Bombyx mori: one gene and its partner. Each later gene encodes a partner of the first gene's protein in a complex. Links are inferred from orthologs where the notes say so. Each region holds a gene or a part of one and is shown in the gene's direction. Other genes may lie near its edges.

Evidence for each region. Proteins that work in one complex are often made in the same cells at the same time.
Region 2: splicing factor 3B subunit 3 (region 1) and microfibrillar-associated protein 1 share a complex: the UniProt entries of both Drosophila melanogaster proteins name them as parts of the spliceosome B complex. The link is inferred for Bombyx mori from reciprocal best matches to the Drosophila melanogaster genes Sf3b3 and Mfap1.

What each region holds. Positions count from the first base shown.
Region 1 is NC_085117.1:14,813,896-14,821,577, reverse strand, and holds the start of splicing factor 3B subunit 3, read left to right. Parts: upstream 1-3,226; 5' UTR 3,227-3,387; intron 3,388-3,644; 5' UTR 3,645-3,667; coding exon 3,668-3,893; intron 3,894-4,319; coding exon 4,320-4,490; intron 4,491-5,833; coding exon 5,834-6,028; intron 6,029-6,257; coding exon 6,258-6,732; intron 6,733-6,960; coding exon 6,961-7,118; intron 7,119-7,512; coding exon 7,513-7,682. UniProt on the Drosophila melanogaster protein: Involved in pre-mRNA splicing as a component of the splicing factor SF3B complex, a constituent of the spliceosome. SF3B complex is required for 'A' complex assembly formed by the stable binding of U2 snRNP to the branchpoint sequence (BPS) in pre-mRNA.
Region 2 is NC_085127.1:8,421,657-8,429,429, reverse strand, and holds the start of microfibrillar-associated protein 1, read left to right. Parts: upstream 1-3,202; 5' UTR 3,203-4,285; coding exon 4,286-4,358; intron 4,359-4,526; coding exon 4,527-4,720; intron 4,721-4,867; coding exon 4,868-5,079; intron 5,080-5,408; coding exon 5,409-5,521; intron 5,522-5,714; coding exon 5,715-5,896; intron 5,897-6,673; coding exon 6,674-6,798; intron 6,799-7,773. UniProt on the Drosophila melanogaster protein: Required for pre-mRNA splicing.

The sequences.
Region 1 (7,682 bases):
CCTGTGCATTCTTAAGCCGATTATGACGTATGTCATTTTATAGTTGTTATTGGTATTTCGGGGAAAAAGATGGAACAAAAGAACGACAACAACAAGAAACAAAAGATGGCGCCCGAGGAATTTTAATAATGTGATGTTTTTATACAATTAATTATTAATCAAAACTTAACGAGACCGATCTTCACTAATCTTTGATAATACATACAAATAATGTCATCCCGATCTAAAATCAATAATAAAATCATTTTATATTATAGTACATCCTAACTTCCACGAGCTGCTAGGCCCGATATGTACACGAAACCCAATAAATAATTTATCGGAAAGGTTTATAGAGTCCACAGAACTTTTAATTGGAGTACGCTTCGTTTGGTGTGAAGCCAAACCTTTGATTTATAGTTTCGTAATAAAATAACGACATTAACATGCAAACCGTGTCTTGTTTGCGTGTTTTAAACTCCTTACTCAAGCAATTAAAAAAACACTCTGAATTATTTTCTTTTTCTGACACCTACTTAATTAAAACGACAAAATGTATCACCAGAGATATAAGATTTAATGTACACGCAACTTTTTCAGATTAAAATACACATTTAAAATTGGATATACCTACATACATGTAATCCTACATTTTTAATGCAAGCAAATTTGGTTCAGCGTCCTTGTTCTATTGAATTAACAGATTTACGTACAGTGTGGAACAATAAAATGAAAATATGTAGTTAGTATTCCAATATCCAACACTATTATATAAGCTCTGAAAAATAATATATCTAAGATCTAGAAAAAAGTGACTTAAAAAAAACATTGGGTTTCCCGCCACAAATTACACGCTATATGTACATAGATTCTCATTAACGAAAACTAAATTGATAGTATTTAGTATTTATGAATCGATAAACACAAAACAATTATTTAAATATAATCAGTACGCTTTTGTCATTGACAGCAATAAATTTAAAATATTTCATACAGAATACACATAACCAATTCATAATATATTCTATTTCCAAAATAACGAGTATAAACCTAAAATATTTCATCTTAAGAACACCTTTTAACACGTATTTTATCATCATGATAAAATTGCGTGCAAGACGTTCGTATAAAGCGAAATATTTTTTATTTGTATTTTTTTCTTTCCTGCGAACGATCGAACCGGCACACGTGCACATCATCCGCTGAGATCGTGACCTGAAACTAAGCGAGCCTTATACCTGTAATGTAAAATAAATAAATTACGTATCCGCCTAACGCATACCAAGCTTAACAATTTTACCAGACGATGACTGTTTTTTTTTTTGATAACGCCATCTTGTTGTCTTTAAAGCGGTCAGTTGCCCTCAATTAAAAAAAATTATTATTATTCGCCAATAGATGTCGGGAAGAGTTGATTATTGAAAACACGAATAAAACAACATTTTCTGAAAATAAATCGTAGCTAGATCGATTTATCGCCCCCGAAATCCCCTGTATACTAAATTTTATGAAAATCGTTGGAGCCGTTTCCGAGATTCAGATTATATACGTATATATTAATATACAAGAATTGCTCGTTAAAAGGTATTAAAGGTATAAGATAAGCTATTTTGTTTCTTGAGATATTAAAAATAATGTTCAAGTCTAAGATTCGTGACCGATACTTAAGAAAACTGTTCAAAAATGTCGATTACGTTTACCGATCGCAATATCGATATCACCGAAATAACAGTTCAATTGAAGGGCAGTCAAAGACATATTGTTTTGCAAAGAAATAAAAATACACAAATTTATTTATGAAACGTCGTACAAACATTATCAGTGACGGTGAGTAAGCGCTGCTTCGTAAAGGCAGGTACTAATTTTTCGACCCGAACCAATCCCACGATGAAAGATCCCAATATTTAGTACTAATATCTGCCAACATTATAAATTCACGTTACTTGTAATAATTACGATACATATTAAAAGGCTGTACCAATATTATTACATACTGTAAAAAAATTATCACAAACCAACCGCATGTACATGGGTGTGCGACAGATATTATGCGATTGGGTGATCAGCTTATAATGTTCATGTGGATGACGGGATCTAGGTTGAGATGTCTGCTCGGTAATTCCTCAACAGCAGGTAGAGTTTTGAGCTCGTCTGCCAAACGGCATTAATAAAATAAAAGATACAAAACATAATGCAGGGACAACACATAGCACAATTATGGCCTTGCAAACCATTATGCACGCAGCGATTCTACTTGTTTTTTTTTTTAAAATAGATTGATCATCGGAGTAACGGACCACTTGGTGTTAAGATAAATCGATTCCCTCGCCCACCTTCGTACATGATGTACAAATCACAATAAAATCTATCCTTAATTCCGTTCAGAAAACGCTCTGGCGGTACCTAAATAAATACATAATTATATATTTATATGACCAAAGGTACAGAAAAGGTACAGTTACAGTTACAGAAAAACAATACAATTTTCCATTAGGCTTAAGGACTCTAGAAGATGTACAGCCTATTCGCCAATTCTCAAGAAGACAGCAGGGTGCCTCACCTTTGGACTGACAGGCGCTCACTGGGCAGACAGAAAAAAATAATTGCGTATTCGCTCAGCTATCAAAAAGCAGAACGGATAGGGAGATTTGTCTACTGCCGCCCTACCGAGGAACTCTACCGAGATTACTGAACCGAGGCCTTAGTCAGGACATTGTATATCTCCGACGACCTTTCAAAATCAGTCGGAAATAATTACGTTGGAAGCACGTTGCATTGCATTCACTTTATGATTTGGCCCTTTTTTCACGTAACAATTTAACACAAAGTGAGCGGTGAGCTCGATGTCTGTAACTAGGAAGAATTTGAGAGAGAGATCCTTATCAAATCTCTAGTGAGATTAGATGTGTCTTAATACGTGTAATTCCGAATAATTTAAGTAAATACATTTAATATAACTGTATTTTAACTAAATTAATTTTGATTTTATTATTAATAAAACTTTTGTTATTAATGAACTAACATTGAAGCTTTATTATCTATTAAGGTAAATTAAAGTTATTTTTATTGTCTATTTAAATATCTCATTGCATGTTATGTGGACTGCAATGGACATCTATTGACAAAAAATAGCCGTTGCTCATTCGTTGAAAGCCTGTGCTACAAGTTTCACTACCCAACAACAGATGGCAGAAAACAGCTACTAAAATATTTCTTATATGGCAACATTCCTCTATAAAACTCGACGCCATGATGCAAAATCCTCTCATTTGATTGGTCCGTGAAAACGAAGCTCAATGGCGTGCTCTGAATCCGCCATTTTACCGGCAACTGCTTGTGCCGGTTCACCCGTGAAAATTAAATACTGCATCGAGCCGCATTGCGGCCATCAATTGCTAATATTTAAAGGTAATCTTTTAATTCTCTCGTTTTGCTAGACTATGATGCATTTCAATTTGTATTTGCACTAGGTATCTCCACGATAAATTATATATTAATCGTGGTCGTTTTTTCGGTGCTATAACAGAAAGCTCACCCATTCGAAAGCACAAAATCCTTTCTGCTTTCGTCAGTTACGAGCCCTACATTTTAATTCCACACCTCTGTTTCAGTTGCTTAATTATTTGAAAAGATAAATTAACTAACCTAACCCGATTTATTTTCAGGGATAGGTTAAAATAAGATCACGATGTATCTCTACAATTTAACACTGCAAGGTTCATCTGCCATAACACATGCCGTACATGGAAATTTCTCTGGAACTAAGCAACAGGAGATTATTATATCACGTGGCAAAACACTTGAATTGTTACGGCCAGATCCGAACACGGGAAAGGTCCACACATTAATGAAAATTGAAATATTTGGTGTAGTTCGGTCTATTATGGCTTTTCGTCTAACCGGAGGAACAAAAGGTAAGTAAACTTTGGCCATGTGACCATGTGGTCCATTGAACTGTGTAGCTTATCTCTTTTAAATTATCTTAATCCCAGAATTTCCTCTCAAATCCAATATTTTTACATTATATAAGATCGAAAATAACACTGCATCATCTTGCTCCATGTTTTTTATAACACAAAGAACATGGGATAACTAGATGCACAAAATATGGCCAAAGCGTCGCTCCTTGCATTTTCTCAATGTTGGGATGTACCGCAATGGAACAAACTAATCCTAACAGATAATGTGAACTTTTATGACTCTTGACTTTGTAGCATGCTTAACATGATAGATTATTGCACACATTATAAACGCAAAAATAACCTAAATCTCCAAAGTTATACCTAACCCTGAACTTACGAACAATAGAACACAACATTAAAATATAGAATTTTCTGCAGATTACATTGTGGTTGGTTCTGATTCTGGACGTATCATCATTTTGGAGTACATCCCAACTAAGAACATTTTGGAGAAAGTCCATCAAGAAACATTTGGTAAATCTGGCTGTAGGAGAATAGTTCCTGGTCAATATCTATCAATTGATCCTAAAGGAAGAGCTGTTATGATTGGTATGGACTTTTTCATAATACCTACCTCTTGAATCAATTTTAGTTTTGGGTTCCAAAAGAGTAGTTTTGGAATGCTGCAACTAAAAATTACAATTAACCTTTAGCACTGCTACAAAGCCATAAGACTTTCTTCTCGTCTCGAAAATCTGCCAGAGTTGCTGATATTCAGTGGTACAAAACGTGGAGTATTAAATTCTAATGCCCGTATCTTTAGACGTTTCGTCAAATAGTCCTCTTAACTCATCCGATGATGCTCGAGCATTCCTCCCAAACTTACTCGAGTTTGGTATTTTTAGTCGACCATTACAATATTCATCAACTGTCCTCGAGTGAGGTAATAATGATTAAAATTTGATCAAGCTTGACTTTATTTATTAGGTAGTAAGCAAAATATGACTCTTATGTAGGTAAATAAGGAGTTTCAAATATCTAACCACTAGTCTAAACAAGAGTCTAACCTCGAACTATTTACTTTATTAATAAAAATTATCAAAATATGTGCGAATCATGCACAGATCCAGGCCATTGCACAACAATATCATATATTTCCATTTGCGGTCCACATACTATTTGGAAATTGATAGAAAACCAGTCTTGAGGAACGTTCATGGTACGTCGCGACGTACCTTGACTTGACAGTTCGCTTACTTCACTCCGATTAGGAAAATTTTCCAAGGACGTTTGAGTGGAGTTTATTTTTACGACTAAGCATACCAAAACGCGCGTTGGAGGTTGAGTCGAGTCAAGCTCGTGTAAACGACTAAAGATACGGGTGTAAGATTTGTTTTCTCTGATTTTGGTTTATTGAAGGGAAACTAGTATAAGTTTACTTAAGCACTGTTTGTGCATACAATTTCAATTGGACCTTTTGTAATTTAATTTGTTTGTACCTTTTAATGTATACTGTAAATTTTTATTGGCATTTATGGTGATGTGAACCAATAAACTGGAAAATATAATTATTAAGATAAGTAATAATGGGACTCTAGTTATGCCACACATGTGATGCATTGATTTGAGACCAAAAATCGCACATGTCTTTTTTTAAGGTGATTATCTCACTCTAAAATCGAAAAACAGGTTTACTGTTTTGAAAACATCAGTAAAAAGATATAAATATCTTAATTCCAATGATGCTTGGTCAATCACTAACTTTTGGTTATCTCTGAAATACTGTCATTTACAATACCATACAATAAAAAAAAAAAAACAATTTTCACTGTCTGATCTTATAAAACTGCTTTTTGTACTTTGAATGGTACAATATTAAATTCATTACATTCCAATTTATTTGCTCAAATGAAATTTACAAAATCAGTACTCAAAGTTTATTTAAATTTTAGGTGCAATTGAAAAACAGAAATTGGTATACATTTTGAATAGAGATGCAGAAGCTCGACTAACAATATCTTCACCACTTGAAGCTCACAAGTCAAACACACTAGTTTATCACATGGTTGGTGTTGATGTTGGATTTGAAAATCCCATGTTTGCATGTTTGGAAATTGATTATGAAGAAGCTGATTCAGATCCTACCGGTTAGTAGTAATTTGTTAATTGAATGTCTTGTCATGTTTTGCTTAGAATTTCATATACTTTTTGTGATAATTTAAACATACTATCTAATTACAAAACATACTATGATTATTCTGAGGTCCGTGTTTCTGATTGACAGTGACGTCAAATCCTCTCTGTATGATTTTTAAATTAACACACAAATAAGTCTTATCTTTACTTTTGAAAATCAATCATGACTATCTTCCACAGGCGAAGCTGCACAAAAAACTCAACAGACTTTAACATTTTACGAATTAGATCTTGGTTTGAATCATGTTGTTAGAAAGTACTCTGAACCTTTAGAAGAGCATGCAAACTTTCTCATAACTGTGCCTGGAGGAAATGATGGTCCTTCTGGTGTCCTTATATGCTCTGAAAATTATCTCACATACAAAAATTTGGGTGATCAACATGATATTAGGTGTCCTATACCTCGCAGAAGAAATGATTTAGATGATCCAGAAAGAGGAATGATCTTTGTTTGTTCTGCCACGCATAAAACTAAGTCCATGTTTTTCTTTTTGGCACAAACTGAACAGGGTGATATTTTCAAAATAACTATAGAAACTGATGAAGATATGGTCACTGAAATAAAGCTGAAATACTTTGACACTGTACCAGTGGCAACATCAATGTGTGTTCTTAAAACTGGATTTTTGTTTGTGGCTTGTGAATTTGGCAACCAGTGAGTATACTTTTGTAAATATATTTGCGTTGCATAAGTGCTAGTGAGTATAAACTCATTTTGTACTCTTAAGAATTACTTCATGCTATAGAAATTTATCCTTGAACCAAGGTCCTCCCTTGTTATGGGGTGAGTGCACACTGATATAGGATGTACATACTAAGTTTATGATGTGTGCTGTACATCTATTTAGGAATGATAAATTACTAAAATACACATAAATTTCAGCTACTTATATCAGATAGCACATTTGGGTGATGAAGATGATGAACCAGAATTTAGCTCTGCTATGCCTCTAGAAGAGGGCGACACATTCTTTTTTGCACCAAGACCTTTGAGGAATTTAGTACTGGTAGATGAAATGGATTCTTTGTCACCAATATTAGGTAAGTAGTAGCAATTGAACGCATCACTGGTGCGCCTTATCTTACTGACCGTTCGGGCCACGAGGGTCACCCGTGAGCCGCGGGAGGCTTTCCTACAAGCCACTCATTGCAGCTATCAAACAAAACTCTTATTAAGCCGAACCCAAACGCTTTGGTTTTCAAATCAATAGAAATTTGCAGTTTAAAGTCCTATGTTCCGTGCAAATTATTGCATTATATAAATTTTATAATGAAAATCTCAAGTTGATAAAAGTTAGATTCTCTAATTTTGCCTTGGCTCAAATAGTATAGTAAGCTAGGCCCACCAGTGGGCCGCATGGCGTTCAATGTTTTAATGAGGAGTCCTCAAAATAAAAAATAGTATATATATATAATTGATTAATAAAAATTCCAGCTTGCCATGTGGCAGATTTAGCTGGGGAAGATACTCCGCAAGTTTACTTGGCATGTGGGAGAGGCCCACGATCCTCCCTTAGAGCACTAAGACATGGTCTTGAAGTTGCTGAAATGGCTGTATCAGAGCTTCCAGGATCACCGAATGCTGTTTGGACAGTTCGACGAAAT
Region 2 (7,773 bases), on another chromosome or scaffold:
GTGGGATGAAGAATGTACCAATGCTATACAGAAACGCAAGGCAGCAGAGCGTAATTATCGCAATAATATGTCTATGAAAAACTACGAGGCATTAATGACTATAATGAAAGAGGTTAGAAAACTATTTAAAAAAAAGAAATTTGACGGGTGGAGGAAATTTTGTAGCACTATATCACCTGAAACACATGCTACTGTCATATGGCGAAATATCAAAAGATTTAGATCAGCTGTCAATCCTTCTAACGCATTGTTGCTGCCTATAGAATTAGCAGATCAATTCCTTGATCGTTTGGCTCCTCCTTCTGCTCCACTCAACGATCCTATCCTGTCTTATAAGCAATATAACTCTGATGCCCCTTCTCTAAATCTAACTTTTACGTTAGTGGAGTTAAAAGGTGTATTAAATCACGTCAAAGACAGTGCTCCAGGGGAAGATGGGATTCCATATTCCTTTTTGTCTCACCTTGGCGAAAAAGGATTAAATTACTTTTTAAATTTAATAAATAAAATTTTACTGACAGGTGACATTCCACCGTCATGGCGAAGTCAAATAGTATTGCCATTTTTAAAGCCGTCTAAGGTACAATCTGATATCAAATCATATCGTCCGATAGTTTTGTCATCGGTGATCACAAAAGTTGTTGAACATTTAATTAAAAATCGGCTTGAATGGTATATAGAAAATAACGAATATCTGTCCCAAACTCAGTTTGGATTTCGAAAAGGTAAAAGTGTGGGGGACAATTTAGGCATATTAGTTACGGATATTCGTAATGCTTTCTCAGATAAAAAGTCAGTAGTTGCTGCTTTTTTGGATATTAATTCGGCTTATGATAACGTTCTATTACATATTCTAAAAAGTAAATTAGATAAATTAAAGGTTCCCGATTTTTTAACTAATTCCATTGTAAATCTTCTTTCGGAGAGGAAAATTATTTTAGATGTTGGCGGCCCTTATAAGCCTAGTAGGCTGGTATGGAGAGGTTTGCCACAGGGGTCTGTTCTGAGTCCTTTATTGTACAATATTTATACATATGATCTAGAAGGTTCAGTCGGAGATTCAGCAAGTTTATTACAGTATGCCGATGACTTGGTTATTTATGCCTCTGATATGTCTGTAAGTACTGCTGAACGATATGTTTCCTCCTCTTTATCTTTGCTAAAAATCTGGATGGATGCAAATGGCCTTGATCTGTCTCCCTCAAAAAGTACTGTTGTACTTTTCACCAAATCCCGTACTCCTTGCTCACTTAATATAACATATGATGGGGATATATTACCCATTAGGAATCAAGTTAAGTTCTTAGGAGCTATTCTTGATTCTAAACTAACGGGTCAACCACACTGCGAATTTGTGGTTAGTAAATGTGAGCGAAACTTGAACATGCTGAGATGTCTCGGTGGGGTTTGGTGGGGTGCTCACCCGGCTACACTGAGGTTGGTGTATAATGCTGTCATTAGAAGTGTACTGGATTTTGGGACCTTTTTCTTAGACCCAGGTAATGTGGCTGGCTTTAGAAAACTAGATCTCATACAGTCTAGGGCTTTGAGGATTGTTTCTGGTGCCATGAAATCGAGTCCGGTTAATGCTCTGCAAATAGAATGTTGTGACCCTCCTTTAAACTTAAGACGTCAATATCTGTCCGATAGATTCATTTTTAGAATTGTTCAGTTCCATAATCATCCCCTCATTTCGAAACTAGAGTTTCTTTCTAAAAAAGTACCCTCTTCACATAAACCTTTACCTTGTCTGTTAAAAAGTTTCCTGAAATTCAAACAATTACAAGCCCCAACTCATTCTTTTCAGGTGCTTCCTTTATTTGGCGCTTCTTATGATTCTCTCTTACTTTCTCCAGTGATTTGCTTTTCTCTTGGCATTGAAAAATCTGATTTTAATGCCAATGAAAATTTTAATTGCAATGTCAATAGTAAATGGCCTAACTGGCATCAAATTTATACAGATGCATCTAAACACTCCAGTGGGTGTGTTGGTGTTGGAGTGTATCACAAACAGTACAACATAGTTCAGAAAATTAAATTACCTCCGGAATCATCGGTCTTTACCGGTGAATGTTTTGGACTATTAAAAGCTCTTGAATATGTGCTGTCTTTCAAACTAAAAAAAACCGTTGTATTTACTGATTCCTTAAGTGCATTACAGAGCTTAGCAAAATTTTCACTAAAACTTAACCCTTTTTTTCATGTAATATTTGAATGTAAGAGAAAGCTGTTGCACTGCCAATCACACAACTATTTAGTATCATTTTGTTGGGTACCTAGTCACTGTGGCATATCTGGAAATGTGAAAGCTGACAGTTTGGCCAACAGTGCAACTGTGACCGGTGACGTATACCCGTACAAGAATTTTGGCCATGATCTTGCTGCTTTGCCCGGCATATGCCTCCACAAATCATGGAATATGTGTTGGGAAGAGAGCGGCCGGATTAAGGGTCGTTTCTTGTATGCTATACAGTCTTCCGTTCCCAGGAAGCCATGGTTTGCCAAATTGTCGTTTGGTAAAACCGCCACTTCTACTATAATTCGTATGCGTCTGGGACATAACAGCCTTCCAGTTCATTTGCACAAACTTGGTATCGTAACTAGTACCGCCTGTGAGTGTGGCGAGAGTTATTGTGACCTGAATCATATTTTCTTTGCTTGTTCTTTATATGATCATTCTTCCTTATATACTTCTTTAGTATCTCTCTCTATTCCCCTTCCTACTAATATTTCTTTACTTCTTCGAGATTTTAATCCCCTTGTATATAGTATTTTAAGTAGGTTTATTTTAAATAATAACATTAAACTATAATTTTGATTTATTTTCCCTGTTATATAATTATTCTGATTTTTTTTGTAAATTCAATTCGTTCTAAATCATTTATGTTTTGTTGCGATAAGTTTCCTTCGTTTTTTATTATTTATAAACTGTAAATAAATAAAACGGCGAATTATAAAAACGTTATTACTTGACGCTGGCTAATGCACAAAACGTGCCAGAGCCAAAAATAAAGAAGAAGAAGAAGATATATGAAAAAATTGTGTCCGATTTTTAGGATGAGTGCTCCATAATGAATTTAAATATATTATCATATAGTTATTAGTTTTGGTGTATCTACTTTCTTGAGATCCTATTAAATATGTTATAATTATTATTTTTGTATGGTTTAAGCGGGGTAGCATGATAAAATAAGAAATGTTATATAAGCAATCATATTAAATCGATATCAAAGTCAATAACCCAAAATCCTGGTGGTAGGACCTCTTGTGACTCCGCGCGGGTAGGCACCATCGCCCTGCCTATTTCTGCCGTGAAGCAACAATGCGTTTCGGTTTGAAGGGTGGGGCAGCCGTTGTAACTATACTGAGATCTTAGAACTTATATCTCAAGGTGGGTGGCGCATTTACGTTATAGATGTCCATGGGCTCCAGTAACCACTTAGCACCAGGTGGGCTGTGAGATCGTCCACCATTCAAAGCATTAAAAAAAAACCGGTTGAACTGACGTGACAATGACATTTGGTGCGCTAAGCATGACGGATTTTCGGCCTCATTAGACATTTACGTATATTCATGTTTCATTTTATGTACGCACTGAAATACTGTTATATTGTTTTCCTGCGAGTTACAGTGCTGACTCGTGCTGAGTAAGAACGAGATAGATATATGTTTATGTGTGTGCCTTCAAAATGGGTGTTATTTGTATAAGCAATTGTACGTATAGAAAAATATGTCGTGTCCCTACTATATAGGTCAATGAAACGCACTGAAGTATACTTTAAAGGTTTATGTATAAACAATGTTCTACAGCTTGTCCTGTAGCCATGTATGCAAGCCTCATTAACACACTACACCATCAGTGGTCACTGTTGCAAATAAATTTGCAAAAAGTCTTCAACAGGATTTTTTTTTTATCAAATTACTTTACTTCTTATTTAGTAAATGTGAAAAAGTTATGACTTTCCTCTTCGCTTAAAGCAGTTTCATACAACAGATATGGTTTTAGTTTTAAAACAAAACAGCCTGTATGACCTTTGTTCCTTTGGTCAGGGTATTTGCGTGTTTGAAAAAAATTTGTTGAAGTAATGTCAAATTCTGTATCTTATCTGTGGCTAGTACTAATCATACTAAACGTATCGTTACTGTAATTTAGGATAATAATGGGTAAAATATCTTTTAAACTGAACAAGGCTTTGTGAAATCAAGTAATTTATATTTAATGAAAATTTAATAATTGGGGTCTAGTAGCTACTATCATTGTTTTATAAACGAAAACACTGGCAAGATGAATGTCCTACCAGCACAACCTACAGGCATTCAGAGTACAGCGGGAGCAATTCCGATAAGAAATGAAAAAGGTACGATAATGTATTCCTAAAATGAATTTAAAAAAAAACTGGCTTTCAAACTTCCATTCTATAAAAATAAAGTTAATTGATTCGAAATTTTCACATTAATCAATGCAGCTTAGTTGAAGCATTTCCAAAGTTTTCATTTTATTTTACATAAATTGGCTTCATTTTCAGGTGAGATCTCGATGCAAAAGGTGAAAGTTCAGCGATACATATCTGGAAAAAAGCCTGACTATGCACAAGGAATGTCATCATCTGAGGAATCAGATGAAGAAGATTTTATAGAGCAACAAAGACCTGAACGGAAACAAGTTTTACCTCAAATAATCACCCGCAAAGAAGAACATCATAGCGATTCTGAGAAAGAGGTAACTTATAAAGAGCAACACTAATGAGAAATACTATAAATGGACTGCTCTCTGCAGCTCATCTTAAATTGTACCTCATAACAGAAGTGTCAAGGTTAATTGCATCTTTTTCACTTCATTGTAGAAATGTATAATTTCACTTTTAAGGTTGATGATCCTCGATTACGACGTCTCCGTAATATTGCACAATCACCGCCGCGTAGAGCCGAACACAAGCCTGAAATTATTGATGCAGAACCTGAAGCAGAATCTGAGATCAGTGATCATGACGTGAGGGATAGTTCCGAGAGTGAAGATGAACTGGATGAGGAAGAGATTGAAAGACGCAGACAGGCTCTAAGAGCAAAACTTGCAGCCAGGTAAATGTAGAACATATTAGTTTTTAAATTCACAATAATACAGTGAAATAGATAATTTTAAATGAATTATGCTTTCAAATATAACTCCTGAAAGAGTATATGGGACTCTCCACCCAGCCAAAAGGGAGATTGCTGTAGTTGAAATGTAGTGGTTTTCACATTGTAGTATATATGAGTTCCAAGTGTTTTGAGTTCCTTCACTATGCAATCACTATGCAATAAAAAAGGAAGACATTGTTAGCACAAGTGTTTTTTTAAAAAGGTGCATTACGAACTTAAATATTAAATACGTCTGAATGTAATAAAATTATCAATTTATTAAATGGTAGGGAAGCTGAAAAAGAAGTACTCGGTAGAGATGAAGATGAAGAAATGTTGGAAGGTGACAAAGAGGAAAGCGGCTCATCAGACACAGAGTACACAGACAGTGAAGAAGATACTGGTTAGTATTCAAATTTTATAAAACTTGTAAATATTACTTAGAAGCGTCAAGTAATCCCTTCAAATTAAGCTTCATATTTAGTGGGCTTCTTCTAAATGGAGGTAAGTAAAAGTAAAGAAATTTCAATATTGCATTTCACAGGTTATGCCATCATAGTACACTGCATAATTTATGTATAGTTGGCCTTTTCCAGGGCCAAGGGTGAAACCAGTATTTGTAAGAGCATCGGAGCGTATGACAGTGGCAGAGAGAGAACGTAAAATGAAACAGCAGAAAAGAGAAGAGGCTGAAGCTCGGAAAGAAAAAGAAGAAAGGCGACGGGAAGCCCTTAAATTAGTAGAGGAAACGATTCGGTCTGAACAGCGGGGTGCTCAGGTTTAGTATCAGGTTTTAAAATATAAATTTTATGAAATCAAAATCAATATGTAATAATTGTTTTACTAACGATTGTCGGTAACCTTGTATCATCATCATCATTATCCTGCCCTTCTCCCAGTCACCTGGGGTTGGCGCAACATGTTTTCTCCTTCCATACTCTTCTATCATATACCATTTCTTCGCTCACTCCCCTCCTACCCATATCGTCTTTCACACAATCCATCCATTTCTTCTTAGGTCTACCTCTTCCTCTAAATCCTTCCACATTCATAGTTAACACTCTCATAACAACCTCATTTTCATTCCGTCTCATCACATGTCCATACCATCCCAAACGTGCACTCCTCAGCTTCTCTGTCACAGGTGCCACTTTCAGACTTCCTCTAACATAACCTTGTATATAAAGTCTTAAACATGTTGTTTACATATGAACGTATATAAATGTGGTGTATTGATGCTTCACTTAATATCAAAGTATTAGGAGAAGGCAGGTGGTTCAGTAGGCAGCAGCCGGGGTTCTGCCCCTGACATTGCTGGCCCAGTCCATGGGCGACGGTAAATACTCATCAAGGGGGCCGTATGCTGGTATGCCTACAAGGGCAATAAAAAAAAAGTATATTATGCATCAATAGTCTGTTGACTGCTGAAGTTTTAGATGATTTATATTTTCTTATAAAAACGTTGATTAATAGTGATGCGAAATTACGAATAAAACAAATATTTTTCACACTGTTTTTATTCTTCACAATTTCAATCTTTTAAACATACTTTTAGGGAGAACAAAAAGAAGGGAATATAAATGATGTATGTACAGATGATGAAAATGACGAACTGGAATATGAAGCTTGGAAGTTGCGTGAAATGAAACGTATCAAACGAGATAAAGAAGAAAGGGAAGCGTAAGTTAAAATTATTCATTTGGAAGCTATTTTCTTCTACAGTAGGCGCGCGAGTTCATGTCCGTCCTGAGGAATGCGGTAGTGCTGTGACCTAGTTAATTATGGTGTCGATAATAACTACCGATTTAGTCAATAGCTGTCAATTTGGTTTATTGTAACTAGGTCATTTTGCAAATTATAAAATAAATGTGGTAAGTAATTACTTATTTATTTCTAATAGAGAAAAATATTTTTTAAATTCCAATTCAATTACTATCAGATGAAAAGATAACCGACAGATCAGAGTCCGAATCAGTGTAGGTTTTTTTCTACCTGAACTTGTTGGAAGCGAAGTAGTCGTAGTTTATTCACCATGAAATAACACAATAGCGTTAGCGTAAATTTTTGATATCGATAAGCGCGCGTCACAACTGTCAAAGACAACACTAAACGTCAGACAAACGCGGGGAGGCGGACGGAGGCGGGGCGAGCTGCCCCCCGCGCGTCACCTCTGGCCCCGATGGACACGAACTCGCGCGCACACTGTAGGTTAATTCAACTGTATCTGCTATACGGTAGAACAGTATTCACCATCAATACGCAATGTCGTCAAAGGCCTTTAAGAGATATACTGTAAGATGGGAAGCAGTATTCTCTGAACATTACAGTAGGTAGAGCTAGTGTGCCTGGCTAGAGCAATAAAAGCTAAGTTACTAAGTGAGAATCTGAGGTCCTTAGATTTGCCGAGTATTATTATTAACCCATGGTATATATGAGTCGACTATTATCAAAGCCGGCAATCTGACTTTTGGACAATGATTGGTAAATCAGAAAAACGAATTATTGACTTTGTATTCCATTGGCAGTCACAAAACTCTTCGGAACGACATCTTAGATAAATAACAGGTTAACTATTAACCTTTATTTAATGCAGGTTTTGAACCGTATTCTTTGAAGGAGACGATTATATTCAAATAAATCTGTATTGACATATCA